2 linked regions of the Astyanax mexicanus genome follow. The protein of the gene in region 1 purifies or fractionates together with the protein of each later gene. This does not show direct contact. Links are inferred from orthologs where the notes say so. Each region holds a gene or a part of one and is shown in the gene's direction. Other genes may lie near its edges.

What was found. The genes of interacting proteins can lie anywhere in the genome.
Region 2: the proteins of gars1 (region 1) and gfpt1 fractionate together in Homo sapiens (co-fractionation; 3 studies listed by BioGRID, with this or other methods). This does not show direct contact. The link is inferred for Astyanax mexicanus from reciprocal best matches to the Homo sapiens genes GARS1 and GFPT1.

What each region holds. Positions count from the first base shown.
Region 1 is NC_064408.1:95,367,534-95,375,597, forward strand, and holds the start of gars1 (glycine--tRNA ligase), read left to right. Parts: upstream 1-5,007; 5' UTR 5,008-5,029; coding exon 5,030-5,269; intron 5,270-5,913; coding exon 5,914-6,015; intron 6,016-7,827; coding exon 7,828-7,930; intron 7,931-8,064. Other genes in the region: spag6 (sperm-associated antigen 6), read left to right, coding at 107-312, 765-938, 1,427-1,579, 1,960-2,151, 2,464-2,580, 2,699-2,844, 2,986-3,049. UniProt on the Homo sapiens protein: Catalyzes the ATP-dependent ligation of glycine to the 3'-end of its cognate tRNA, via the formation of an aminoacyl-adenylate intermediate (Gly-AMP).
Region 2 is NC_064419.1:27,191,379-27,199,022, reverse strand, and holds the start of gfpt1 (glutamine--fructose-6-phosphate aminotransferase [isomerizing] 1), read left to right. Parts: upstream 1-4,636; 5' UTR 4,637-4,737; coding exon 4,738-4,744; intron 4,745-7,644. Other genes in the region: NFU1 iron-sulfur cluster scaffold homolog, mitochondrial, read left to right, coding at 147-264, 1,387-1,450, 1,700-1,874, 2,341-2,385.

The sequences.
Region 1 (8,064 bases):
AATAGATCATATCATAAAACACACAATTCATAATTAATAATCAAAATTAAAAGTGATTGTTTAGACTGATCATGTAAAGCTCTTTTTATCAATAACTAATTTGCAGAACTGGCTCAGGCTGTGGTGGATGCTGGGGCAGTTCCTCTACTAGTGCTGTGCATCCAGGAGCCTGAGATTGCCTTGAAGAGGATCGCTGCTTCTACTTTGAGTGACATTGCTAAACACTCGCCTGAACTGGCACAAACAGTGGTAGACACAGGAGCCATTGCCCATCTGGCACAGATGACCCTGAACCCGGATGCCAAACTAAAGGTCAGAGCCTCTGCTGTAATCTTTAATAGGAATACTATGTATAGTCAGCGGTAATCAAGTGTAACCCTTGGGCCACTGTCATGCCGTATTTTACTTCTACTTTTACTATGCAATTTGAACCTGTCTACACTTACATTGTGTCAAAATGGACCAATAGAAATGCCACAAAATTACATGGAATAAAAATAGTTTACACTGTACGTAAAAAACATTATAAAAATATATTTTTTAAATACCAACAATTAAACATTGTTAAACTTAAATCATAATAAAATTCAAAAGAATTTACAAACGTAGCGGTAATTGAAAGTTTAGAATCTACACATAAATTCCTTGCTTGTTTGATTGAGGAAAAATTAAGGAAACATTTTGCCATTTTAAGGCAAATGTTGTATGACAAAGGGGGGCCTAGAAGAATTCTTGTCCACTAATTATAGTCTGCTCCTTTACAGAGGCAAGTGTTCTCAGCACTTGGCCAAATCTCAAAGCACTCAGTGGACCTGGCGGAGATGGTGGTGGAGGCTGAGATTTTCCCAGCTGTGCTATCCAGCCTGAAGGACCCAGATGAGTATGTAAAGAAGAATGTGACTACAATGATGCGGGAAATCACAAAGCACACACCTGAGGTACCTTCTGCATACAAAACTGCATACATATTCACTAAATCACTTCATACTGCAGAAATAAGGGCATATGGCTTATTACCAAGAAAAGACATCTTGTTCCCAGGATTTAAACTTATGATCTGCTAAAGATCAGGCAGTTCAACAGTTTGTGCAATTGTGTGTCCAAGAAAGAATGTAAAGAACTTTGGGGAGACTTACTCAGAACAGTTTGTTATATATATTGTAATTTTGCTGCTTCAAAGTGCCACAATTGTCTAACTTTATTCTTGTCAAAAGATAGATCTTAAGTTCAAATCCCAGTACTGCCTCGTTACATTATTCTCAGGAGTCCCCAGTCTCGATACATTGTTGGAATTCTTTTATCTTTACAGTAAGACTTATTTTAACCAGGGTGCAAACATTTTCAAGCCTCTGTAGATACTGTCATGTATTGAATCCAGTAAGGACAAAGGTAATGTGAGTGTATGTGTGTATGTGTTTCTCTTCAGCTATCGCAAATGATTGTGAATGCTGGGGGTGTAGCAGCTGTGATTGACTACCTCGGAGACTCCAGGGGGAACGTGCGCCTGCCTGGGATTATGATGCTGGGCTACATAGCTGCGCACTCTGAGAACCTCGCCATGGCTGTCATTGTTTCTAAGGTGTGTGACAACATCTGAATATTGCTTGTTTTATAAGTCATAAGCTAAACTGCTGTTGGAATTGTCCTTGCAATCAGAAAAATGACACCCGCATTTGGCATATCATTTGCCTGCATGTTTAGAAAAACATAAGCTAAAAATTGGTAAATGCATGATTCAATCTGGTTACCAGTTCTAGATTTAGCTAAAGCTGCTCCAATGATGTTGTAGAACAACAGTAAATAAAAATATACTTTTATTTTATTTTTTCAGTTTTCCATTAAATGTATAAAGAGATCCATAAGATATGTTATGCAATTTTATTTTGGCACTATTGTGAAAGGTAGTATTACACGCTTGTAATAGTTGGTAAGTTTTGTATTCTTATATCTGTCCTCTAGGGGGTGCCACAGTTGGCTATTTGCATGGCAGAGGAATCAGAGGACCACATCAAGGCAGCTACAGCTTGGGCGTTTGGCCAGATTGGGCAACACACACCTGAGCATGCACGAGCTGTGGCAGCAGCAAATGTGCTGCCAAAACTCCTTAATCTGTACCTGGACACACAGAGTTCTGAAGACCTGCAAGTCAAGGTTTGCATGTTCACCAGTACTGATGACAGTTCTGGAAATACCATCTGCATAAATAAATCTGCATAAAATAAAAGTTAACTTTTCTAAGCAATCCGATCAGAGGGATCTGAGTACTGGTATAATACTGCTATCTTGCGGTCAGGGTTTAAACTGAAAAAAATATGTATTAACAACTATTAGCCACCAATCTTTACATGTAAACTGTTCGTTTTTGAAAATTGACAAGTTGACAAGGTTTTTTTTTTTTTTTTACCAGCTGCAGTACCTTACAAAACAACCATGATCACTGCTCTTCTTATTTCCACAATTTAGGCAAAGAAGGCCTTAAAGAATATTCTTCAGAAGTGCACCTACCTTCCTGCACTGGAGCCCCTTCTCTATGAAGCTCCCAGCAACATCCTGAAACATGTCATCTGCCAGTTCAGCAAGGTAGGTGACTGGGACATAACAATCATGTATGCTGCCCAATAATGTTTCTGATTTAAACCAGAATTTGGGAACTTAAATATATGATGGGTCTGTTGTCGGTTGTCTCCATTTCCTGAAGGTCCTTCCACATGACAGTAAAGCACGTCGTTTGTTTGTGACCAGTGGAGGCCTTAAGAAGGTGCAGGAAATCAAAGCAGAACCTGGCTCTGCTCTGCAGGAGCACATCAACGCGATCAACAACTGCTACCCTGAGGAGATAGTCAGGTTAATACAACAAACTTCATTAAATCATATAACAATATAAATCATATAACCTTATTAGAAACCAGTTCAAGTGCAGTAGTGTTATTGAATTATTGAGATTTTTTGTAATATATTTTTTTCTTATCTGTGTTGCTTTAACAGGTACTATTCTCCTGGATACTCAGAAGTCCTGCTGGAGAGGGTAGATAACTATCAGCCTTCTTAAGATAAACTTGTTTTTGCCCCTGGGACCTTGTGGATGTGGAGCACTTTTTAGTTAACTTGTGTGTTTTACTTTATGGAGTATGTAAATGGAACCATATGTGTCAAAAAGAAATAAACTATACACAAACCTGTATGATGTAGAGGTGTATTTAATTAAATCTGGGTCTATTTGTTAATCATATACATTCAACATAAATGCAGTGTTATAATATAAGTACTATTACAACTATCAAGATACCTCTCTGTACTGTTTTTCATAATATGTTCATTTAACAGGTCCGAACCCTAATGAACCTGCTGTCTCAATGAGCACACCAGTGCTCATAATAATATAGACACATATTATAAAATACAAATAATAAAATTATAATACAATAAAATAAAATATTAATCAACAATAATCACCCTTTTCTTACCCAAGACTAAGCTTGTAATAATGGGTAATAAAATCTGAATAAAATAATCTGTGTTAGAAATATTTACAGGTGTATCTTAAGAAATTAGAATGTCGTTGAAAAGTCACTTTATTTTAGTAATTCAGTTCAAAATGTGAAATTCATATATTATATTTGAATGTATTACATGAAGTCCTGCTGGAAAATGAAATCTGCATCACCATAAAAGATGTCAGCCAAGGAAAGCAAAACAATATATATATTTTTTTTACCTGCACCTGTAATTTGTATTATTGGCGTTAGTCCCTTAAAAATAATTGTAATGATCACATCAATATTCCGTGACTAGATCATGGATAAAATCATGATTACAATTTTAAATGCTGGTACTTAAGAGGACAGTAATAATAGTGTATTGTGGTTTACAGTTGGCAGACTAGATACTTTTTTTTTTTTTTACTGTTTTACAATAATATATCAGGATAGTTATAGTAATGGGGCTTAGCAAACCTTAGGTTTAATTCCTAATCTTAAAAAATGAGAACATAACGTAATTTTATTGGGTTATTTTTATTTATTTTATTTATTTTAAAATCACACAATTAGTTTTCATGTAAGAGCGCCGCTCGTACACAGGAACCTCGAATCTGCTGCCGCCGATCCTAATGGCAGCGGCCCGCTCCAATAAGTGCACTAGTTAGGGTTCTAACTAGAGCGCGTGTCTAGCACTTATCACGTGTACACTCTCATATAATAGTTTATACCCATTTTTTTTTTCAAGTGAATTGTGAATTGTGCAGTACGCTGTGTATAAATAATGAAATTTACAAAATCACTTACAATTACAGCAGAGCAAATTCAATCAATTATTATGAATAAAAATACATTTTATTTAATTTTACAAAGTCACATTTAATTAAATTAATTTAAATTAAATAAAATAATCATATCTTTTTAGAATTCAGTATAAGTTGGTGTATTAAACAATAAAATATGTTTTATGATACATTTAAGAATAAAGAATGTCCTTATGTACTTATTATACACCTGTTCGCCTCCAGAGAATGTTTCCTGACAACTCTAACCTATTTTTAGAAATGTAATACACAGGTACATTTATCTGCTTGTTTTGGAAGGGGGTTCACTTTGTAACATTTTCTGTCTCTTTAATTAGACTTCAGACACTTAATAAAAAAGAAAAAAAATTAAGAATGTATTTTTTGCGGATTTAGACCTGCTTAAATGTTAAAAACAATGTTCTTGTTAAAACAGCTACAGGTCACATTCAGAATGTATTGACAGAACCACAAGCAAACTTGTGTAGAGTATCTATAATTAAGACAACATATATTTTTTTAATATTATTATTATTATTATTATTATTATTATTATTATTATTATTATTATTATTATTATTATTATTATTATTATTACTAATTTTAAAGCTGATCCCTGTTCACTAGCTCGGTAGTAAGTATTGGGACGCGGCCTCTGTGTACGTGTCGAAAGTGTGAGCGCGCGGCGGCTCGAGCTCAGGTTTACTCATTTCCTCCGATTTCATCATGCTCTGACTGAGCGCTGCTCTCATGCTGCTGCTGCTGCTGCGGAGAGCGACATCAGCCCTGCGGACCTCCACACAGCACTCAGCCCGCAGAGCCGCCGCGCAGACCCCCCGCTCACCCGCACTCCGCGCCCCGCTCTCCCTCTCAGCCTGCCTGGGCAAGAAACAGAAGACGAGCCAGTGGCTGGAGCTTTCTGAAGGTCAAAACATGGACGGAAACATCGAGGAGATCCTGGCTCCCCTGAGACAGGCGGTGAAAGAGCAGGTAACGATAACGCTACTGCGAAAAATAAAAATACTACAACTGCTAAGCTAGCTAACTATAGTACTCATAGGTGGAGCTGTTATAAAGCACGTTTTCTTAACTGAATAACTAAAATTGCAAATCGATAAAATCTTATTCTTCTCTGGATTGGCCTTTAAGACCAGGATGAATGAATGTAGCAGCTTTTGCTTTTGCTTCGCATGCTAACCTAGCTATAGCTAGCTAATTATTATGGTCAGGAATATCCTAATCAAATGTAGTTAATTTGGTTATATTAGACCCGGATGTGTAACAGGTTAAGCTCACTGCAGTTTAGTGATTGTGCCTGGGTTCAACCTCAGCCTTACAGTGCCACGTTTTGAGCTCATCTGGCTGCTACAGACAGACTGACTGATGGAGGGAGGGGAAAAAGAACAGGGCAGGGCGCTTTCTGTTTTGCTCTCTCTCTCTCTCTTTTTCTTTCTCTCTGTCAGTCTCTCTCTATTTCTATATCTCTCTTTCTCTCTCTCTCTCTCTTTCTCTCTTTCTTACTTTCTTTGGGAGGAAATAGATGAGCTGTAAGGAGATGTGGGGCAGTGGTTGACTTCTGCTATTCCAGCTGTTTCAGTTTCATCCTAGCTAAATGTGCTGCTTCTTCTGCTCAGGGTGAGCTGGTTCGTCAGATGAAATCAGAGAACGCCCCAGATGTGGATGTGACCAAAGCTGTGGCAGAGCTCAAGGCTCGGAAGAGGATACTTGAGGCCAAGGTAAGGACTGATCATCAAGGCTGAGTTTCAGGATGATAATCATTTTGCACAAGTCAGTTGATTTTTTTTTTAACAGCAAGTTGATAAATTGATGTCAGTAAGGTGTAGACACTTTGCCGTGGTTTGGGAGAAGTCCTGAATTAGTTTTGATGTCATAAACATCCCAAAAATCTGCGGAGCGAACCTCTGTTGTTAACTGGAAGCTGCTGGTACACCAGTGCGGTGGTCTACAATAAATAACTTTTTTTCCAACACAGTGGCTTCACCCATGAAGAATCCTATGCTTGAAAAACTTCCCCTTAAAGGTGGAAGGCATTGTCTGTGAAGGCATTATTGTTTCTTTATATGTTCGTTATATGTTTTCTTCTTTTTACTCCTTGTGTTGGAGGTGCACGGTGAATTGTGGCAAACTGAGGGCCACAATGGATACATCAGTTGTGTCTGCTGCATTTTTGTTGCTGTATATGAAGGATTCTTAGTTTTGGAACAGCCTCTTATAACGCTGGGTCAGAGAAAAACATAACATCTAGGATTCAGCCTAAACTATGTAATGCAGCTTGTGTATGTGTGTTTGCTGCGCACATGGATTTAAAGCACATTCCACGTGTCACTTATCATGTAAAAATTTGAATATGATGTTTTAGTCCCGTTTTTATTTTTTCAAGTGAATTGTGCAGTACGCTGTGTATAAATGATGAAATCACTTACATTTACAGCAGAACTTATTCCATCAGTTATTATGAATAAATATACATTTTATTTAATTGTATTAAGTCACATTTAATTTAATTTAATTAAAAATAATATATTTTTAGAATTCAGTAGGTGCACAGTGAAAGTGCAACTATGCAATGCAGCTTGTGTATGTGTGTGTTGCTGCACACATGGGTTTAAAGCAGATTCCACATTCCATGTGGGGTTACATCACAAGTATGTTGAATATGGTTGTCCTCTTGTCTTGAGGGCTGTGGCTCCCAAATACAGTCTAGAGATGTGTGTCAGGAAAACAACTGATTTAATTGAAATGCATCAATTTTCCCAAGAAGAGCGGTCAAATATCCAACCGATGTATGTATCCAACTGTATGTATAATTAAATTCAGATTTACCCAGTTACTTTGGTTTAATGTATTTATGGATACATTATTATGTATATCTGAAAGGGTGGTCTAATTTTACCAATTGAGATTAGTCCTTCTCATTTAGTATCTAATATGCTAAAGATTTGGATTCCCATCTTGGACTGCTTTTCTGTTGCTCACATCTCATTTCATCTGGCTCTTTTGCAGTTCATTTTGGACCAGAGTGTAACAATTTTTTTTCAGTGTTTTGTTGTTGCACAGCATTGCATCCCTTAGCCTCAACAAGTTGGACAAAAATTCAGCGTTTTGCCTCTCTTTTGTTTTTGCCCATTACTGTACAGTACATTGCACAGATAAATCTTACAGTTGTAAGAATATTAGTAATAGTGATGAAAAAAATCCAGACTGCTTCTATAGCCAATGACAGACACAAATTAATATATGCGCTCATTGACTTTCAGCAGTAACACTTGCTCACTGGCTTAATCTTGTGAAGAAAATGAAGTGGCCTGCTTAAAAAGTCTTATGATTTTTTAAGTTCCTCCTACTATCATCAACAGGAGAGATTTTTCCTAGTAGTTTAACTGGGAAATCTTGTTTTAGAGACTGTTGTCACATCATTTTTAGAACATGTGTATTGATGGATAAACCTTTTTTTGTTTTAAACTGGAGTGCCAATTTAAAGGCAACAGAAGGAATGCTTTTATAAAACTGTTTTTATTCTTTTACAGGAACTTTCCCTGCAGCCCAAAGATGATATCGTGGATAGGACTAAAATGGAGGATACGCTGAAGAGACGGTTCTTTTATGACCAAGCCTTTTCCATTTATGGGGGTATGTTTTAACTAATATCAAACAATGTGTAAAGTAAATGTAAGGCTAAACTCAAATCATAATGGATGTGACAATGAGTAGAGATTATGCTATTGCACCTGTTTTTTTTAATGATGGTAACAATCATTTGGTTG
Region 2 (7,644 bases), on another chromosome or scaffold:
TATAATCCTTTGTGCTTTGTATCCTTTGCGTGTCAATGCAAGATTGGGATGCATCATCAGTAGTGTTCCATGATACATCCCAAACAACACTTATGATGCATCCCAAAATACAGATAATTAACGGTAGATCTCTTTGCTGATATCAGACTAACTCGGATGCAGAGTGGAAGGTGATCAAGCCGGATGTATTTGCTACCATTATGGATTTCTTCACGTCTGGACTTCCTGTTGTTTCTGAGGATGCAGTTCCTAGTGCAGACACCGGTAATGTTTTCATATTTACATGCACTTCTTCCGACTGCTGCAGAACGTTGGAGTTATTTGGTAATCCTATTAACATGTTTACATGTTTACAAGTGGTCCAGTGGTTTTAAGCGCTGCCACTATGATTGGGAGATCACTGGTTCGAATCCTGCTCATGTAGCTTGCCATCAGCTTGGTGCACTTTCATCAGTCCTAGGGTGATGTCGATCAGCCCAAGGCGTCTTTGAGCGGATGTATCGCTGCACTTTCCTCCGAGCGCGCTGTTATGGTACTCGGCAAGTTCGAAAAAAAGACGGTGATTGGCTTCATGTGTCGAAAGAGACGTGCTAGTCTTCACCGTCCTTGTGTTGTGGCATCACCTGTGATGGGGGATATACAGCTGAGTAGCTGAATGGTGGGACAATTAGCCTAGCTAAATTGGGAGAAGGGGGGGGGGGGGTTATGTAATCGTTTAACACATACGCTGACTGAAAAATCAAAGAATGCTCTGTTTAAGAGGATTCACGGACTGAGAAATGTGGTTTACAAAGCTTTTCATCTCTCTACCAGATTTCCTAATCTGATTTTTAGACCATACTCAAATCAGAGTATGTCTTTTACATGGCTACTCAAATAAGCACATAACTGCACTGGGGCTACAAACTATTTAAATATGTCCATTCACTTAGCACATATAAGACAAAAGACAGACCTGTACACCCATAAGTATCTAATTGGCCAATCACCCTTTAGTTACACAGGTTGGAGCTGACAGAAAAGCTACTGTAACTCAGATAACCAAAGCATTTTAAAATGCATAACACATCAAACGAGGTGTAAGGGTCACATCATCAGATCACCATGTTGCATTCCATGTAGTGATCTGAATAAATTGCTTAATAAATGCATACTATCTCAACAAGTAAAGGAAGCCTATATGGAAGTTTACTCAAGCCATAGCGAACTGTTAGTTCATGTGAGGTAGATTTTCATGTGAGACAATATTTCTGTAAATACTGTTATATTAGCTACTGAAATGATCAAAAGTGCATTACACAACTGAAAACAGTAACAGCAGCAACTATAAAGTCTGGATCAGTTATTAGAGAAAACATTAACAACTTTAACAACTTTATTTTTCAGCCCCCTCAGATGATGATGATGAAGTCGTGTCTATGATCAAAGAGTTGCTAGACACACGGATTAGGTACTGTTACACTCATTTCTCTGTCTGTTTTACTTCAGAGTACAATTGTTTTATCTGTTTTTTTTTATTTGATCTAGGTTTAAAGCAGTTATATGAGGCAAATTTACCTTAAAGTGCAAGCATTGCTCCAAAGTCTAGTATAAAATCTTTGGGACAAATACTTTTGTCTATGTAGTTTACTCTTCTGATTAATGCCATGTTGGTACTATGTTTTTGGTAAATGACTCAAAATTATGTCTTCCATCTCAGACCCACAGTGCAGGAGGATGGTGGGGATGTGCTGTATCGCGGGTTTGAGGATGGTATTGTGAAGCTGAAGCTCCAGGGCTCGTGCACCAGCTGCCCCAGCTCCATCGTCACTTTAAAGAATGGCATCCAAAACATGCTGCAATTCTACGTCCCTGAAGTGGAGGGTGTGGAGCAGGTAAGAGAATTTTAACAAAAGAAAAGTTAATGGAGACCATTTATTGTTTCACATGTAAAGCTAACCAGCTTGCAATATTTATACTGTATTAATATTATTTAATATCTTTTTTTAAAAGAATAAATCAGATTTACATGGTTTTCTATTAACCCCATATGTAGTTTGAGTTAAGGCATGTTTGGTAGGTGGAGTTTACACATTTAGTTATTTTGGAGCTACAACATGTATGTAGCTAACAAATAGGCCTGTCACAACAACTACTATATTTTTGGACAGTATAATTTCCCATAAATTATTGCAAGGATTGATATAATTGCAACCAATAATATGTATAACTGTGTAATAATGCAATTAGGCCCTTTTAAAGATATGATGAGGGCAAAGGGAAAACTATCAAGCCAGAGTTAGTAATAAACTGATCAATTTCTTATTTTCATCTTATTGATCTCTGTGCTCCTTTCATCAGGTGAAGGAGGAGGTTGAGGATGTGGAACAGGAAGCCCAGAGATGAGTGTTAGCCAGAAGGAGTATTTCATCTGGACTACATTCCAGTCTCCTACAGTTCCCAGCAGCCACTTCTCTCACCACAATCTAACTAAGTCAGAGGAGGACTAAAACTCAATTTTGCCATGTTTAGTTTATTTTGACTATTTTGAGGGGGGGTGTAATAAAGCCAAATAGATATTGTCACTGTCACAAACAAATCTTGTGTATCTAAAGCTCTACACTGACGGGATTCGTTTCTCAAAGTGACGTCCATGACAAATATTTACACTTCTACTCAGTGTTAAAACTTTTGCATCTGGACTGCAATTGAAAAAAAACAGGAGGACCAGTGAGGGTTTTTTAGGCTTTGTCACATTGTGTGTTCAGTAGCTTCTCCATTTCCACTCGCTGTTGTGCCCAATGTGTAATCACGGTGCATAGCAGTGGACAAATATCTGTTTTATTAAACGCCAGGTGATGAAGCTCAATGTTTGTCTGGATGAGATTAGGGCTGACAGTTGTTCCTTACATTGTATTGGAATTTCACAGTGAATGGTTCTGTAGAAATTCCCCAAATTGATTTGGAATAAAATCGTTTTACACTGACTTTTATTACAATTTATAAAGGGTTTTCCTTCTCCTGTAAAATTTCTGAAGAATGTGACGACAGTGACAGTATGCTCAGGGGATCCGTGCTTTTTTAGATAATTGCATCTAAATCTTAAAAGAAAATTGTGTGACATGCGTCATTGCTCAATGCAAGTTTTTTTTTCCTGTCATTATACTGTATTAGGTATATGTATATTTAAGTTGGGTGAATGCATCTTGTTTAATGGTAATATTCTGCTCTCCTGATATTTATAATGCTTTCAGTGTTCCACCTAATATTACCCAACCCTGCAGTAACTCGAGACGCACAAAAATAACAGTGGATATGGCCTGTCCACATGTATATTTGTTTTTAATTCAATGTACAGATGTAGAAAATGTGTGTATTAAGAGCAATAATAAAATTGACAAATTCAGACAAAATTGATGAATGTTTTCACTTTTTTAAGTATTATATTATATTATATTTTATTAAAGAAGTAATTTTAAGAATGGTATACCTTACACTGAAGGTACATTACAAAATATATTCAGAAAACAAATACACATTAACATTAGGGGTGGGAATCACAGGGCATCTCAAAATACAATATTATCACGATACATGATATCTTCATATTCTGATTCACTAATACCAAACAGGAATCATGTTTTTGCTATTGTCAGTTTCACAGAAACAATATACTTCACTGCAGTTTTTCCATTCTACACTGACAGGCCAAAAAGTCATGAGACAGCAGCTTGTAAGTTAATCATAAAGTGTATCATCAGGGATTGATTAGGGATGAAACCTTTCTAAGTTATGAATGAAAACATGAAAAATAGCTAATAGATTGACACTAATAATAGAAGGACACTAAGCACATTTTGTGTATATTAAATGTGTATATCAAAATAAACAATATCTAAGGTAGAAGGTAAAATATCTTGTAAAGCATATATGGGATTTGGAGTAACACAACAATGCAAAAATAAATTATATCTACGAAGGATTTTATTTAATTATATTTTATGATAAAGTTTATAGTTACAAAGTGGGGACAGGTAACAAATGCTATTTTTCAGTGTTCTAAGTAGTTTTTATTAATATTTTTAATTACTAATCTTACTTTCGTAATTAGTTCGATGTACAAGACGCTATGCTTAATAATAAAATTTATTTTAAAGTTACTGTGTGTGCACATTTATACATGTAATTTCCATGGGGACAGAAATGGCACAGATTTGACGGAATATTCCATAAACTATTCGTAATAATCACCATAAACACACATGACTGTTACTGATCCTCTCCATCCCGGACAGTATGATGACACATCACTCACTAAGTATCTCAGCCAGCAGCCAATCAGATCTACCCCCGCGTAGCTACGTACGCTGTCTTTTTCTACGTAGAGTACCGGCGCTGGAGTTTGCGCAGGTCTGTTTTGCATGATTTCCTGGTGTGGATCATTTGTGCACACGCGACACTATTTACATCACTATTACTGACTGAACCGACGAAAGGTAAAAGCTCCGCGAGCGCCGGGTCCGCAGGTGATTGTCGACATCATGGACGCATCCTTCTGCCACGTAGAACCAACCGGCCTCCGCAGGCGAAGACCTGGTGTTGGGCGTGACTGACAGCTCGTTCCGCCAATCAGAGGCGGGTACGTAGGCACAGCCTGGGCTCTCGTCCAGTAGAGTGTGAGGGGGCGGAGCTTGTGTAAGACCCAATGACTCGGAGGCGGAACTCAACTCCACAGTAGTTGGAAACGGTGCTGAAGACATGTGTGGTGAGTGTGAATGGAGCATGAGATTTTTCTTACTGTGTTTAACTTCAGCGTTTTTAACACGCAGTCTGTAGGTAGAAGAGGTTCATACGGTTCAGAGGAACTAGAATATATCTGTGTAATTGTGAAAATAGCTCAGAAAATAGATTAAACATCTCGAGAGGCACAACGTTAGCACTGCTAGCTAGCATTTACATTTGGGCTGTAACCTACCTACTGTACTAGCCGGCTAAGTAACCAGCGTAGTGAATTAACTGTGCCGCATAGTTTAGTGTGTATGTGTCACTTGCTGCCGTTTAGGGCGTGTTATTATTTTATTGACATGCAGCTTAGAGACTCTAAAACAACTAGTCTGACTGATTGTCACTGTTTAGACTCTCACAGACCGGGTTCGGTTTCATTACAGCTGCTTTGCGTAGGACTAGAATGAGGGGTTTCCTCACTGTTCGATATTGAGAATTGGTTTCGTTTAAAATGTATTTATTTGTTATTTACATTACCACATAGCTAACCTAGTTAGCAATATCTTTAAGCTGTAAAACCTCAGACTCACTTCTGTATTTATTTGTTATTCACATTACCACACAGCTACAGCTCTGGGAAAATTAAGAGACCACTTCAGTTTCTGAATCAGTTTCTCTTATTTTGCTATTTATAGAAATATGTTTGAGTAAAATGAACGTTGTTGTTTTATTCTATAAACTATGGACAACAATTCTCCAAATTAAAATATTGTCATTAAGAGCATTTATTTGCAGAAAATGAAAATGGCTGAGCATTCAGCTTTCAGACCTAAATATTGCAAAAAAAAAAAAAAAACAACAAGTTTATATTTATAAACCAATATTTGGTGGAATAACCCTGGATTTTAATCAAATTTTTTTATGCATCTTGGCATGTTCTCATCCACTAGTCTTACACAAGGCTTTTGAATAACTTCATGCCACTCCTGGTGCAAACATGTAAGCAGTTCAGCTTGGTTGGATGGCTTGTGATCATCCGTCTTCTCCTTAATTATATTTCAAAGTGTTTTTTTATTTGGTAAAATCAAAGAAACTCATAATTTTTAAGTTGTCACTTATTTTTTTTTCCAGATCTGGAGTTAGAAACCTTTAACCCATAAGACCTCGGACCCAATTCTGTATTTATTTGTTATTTACATTAACACATAGCTAGTTAGAAATCTCTTTTACCCTTATGACCTCAGACCCAGGTTTGTATTTAAGTAGTTACATTACCACAAATCAACCTAGTTAGAATTCTCTTAAACTCATAAGATCCCAGACCCAGTTCTATATCTGTTTATTTACATTACCACATAGCTAGTTGTCTGTTTGTTTTTGTTTTAAAGCTGGCGGAAACCCTAAAATCTACAGAGCAGTGTGCCTCCACTACAAGGGTTAAAGACCATTGACTTAGGAAGACTGCACTGATTAGATTGGGTTCCTCAGATAAGACGTAGACAAATGCCAGGACCCGCCTCAGCCCCTGATAAATGGCAGAACCTGATTTACTCCTTGATGGATCTTAGGACCAGCTTTAGCTTACGCAGCCAGTGGGAGTCAGAAGACAGACAAGAAGAGTACATTGGTTTTAAAGTCAGCTGCTTGAAAGCACAGTACTGAGTGGAGATGATGATACTAATCCGAGATATCAGGATGTATCAGTATTTCAGGCTGATATAAACAAAAATTGCTGCATCAGTTTAGGAGTGTTCTGTTGATTGTCGAGTGTATGTCACATTAGAAACAAACATAAAACAGCCTTAAACATATTGAATTTGTTGAGAACATTGGGCCAATCTGCCTGCTGTGGTACATAGTACATAGATACAACAACAAATGCCTTGTTTAGTCCCTTTTAAACAGGCAGCTCATATCAGATTTTCTGACATTTACAACAGAAACCAGACCTTTTCCACTCAGATTGAGACTTAATTTAAAAGTAGTTTAAATTCTATTTTTAAACATGAGATTATAACCAGACATTTTTTTGACATGAACGAGATAGGAAGCACAAAAACGTGAACCTTTTAATGCAAAAATACATTGGAACTAGAGGAGTGTTGTATTGTAAGCAATAATATTGCAAACATTTTTGACACAATAAAAAAAACCTCCTTGTTGTGCTAATAGCGATATTCTTGAAAGCAGTCTGTTTTATATTTGTTTATTTGCAGTTTTTGTCATATTGCCAAAAATATTATCACATAAATACCTTGAAATATCGGATATGGCCCTAAAATAATAGCATACAGCCCTAAACGGAACTGGGCAAAGATACTTGTAATATAAACATAGCCTACCTTTGTTTGGTCTGAACCAAACTAGCATAAGTAAAAGCTGCCGCAAACCATCAACAAGACCAAAATTTGCTCCAAACAAACAAGGCAATTTCAGGCTTGTACTTATTTTACCTTTGGACCATGTTAGTAAAAAAGAAATGTAAGTGTAAAGAACCTTCTTAAACATTCTGTGCAAATGTAAAGTTTCTTCACATTTATACATTTTTTACAGAAAATGGTTATTTAGAAAACTAAAAGGGGTTCTTCTGTGACATTGCTTAAATAACCCCCTGAATTACCTTTATTGTCAATAGTTGCCACATGTTTGCTCTACAACAGATTCCAAACACACATGTATAGTGGTTTTAAATAAGTGGTTTAAGTGGACTGGGGAAACAAATTTGATTGGGAAACACTTGCATGTGTTCCTGTAATTCTCTGTATGGGGCCAGCTTGTAGGCCCATACCAATTCCTTGCACTCTAACAGCATGAGTTACTTAATAGCTTTACTACAATCATTTGTAGTAGTTACTGAATAAAAAGTCTTCAACTTAAAATTCAGACATAAGCAAAAACAGTAATGAAAGGACTAAAAGGAAACAGTGCTGAATTAAGAGG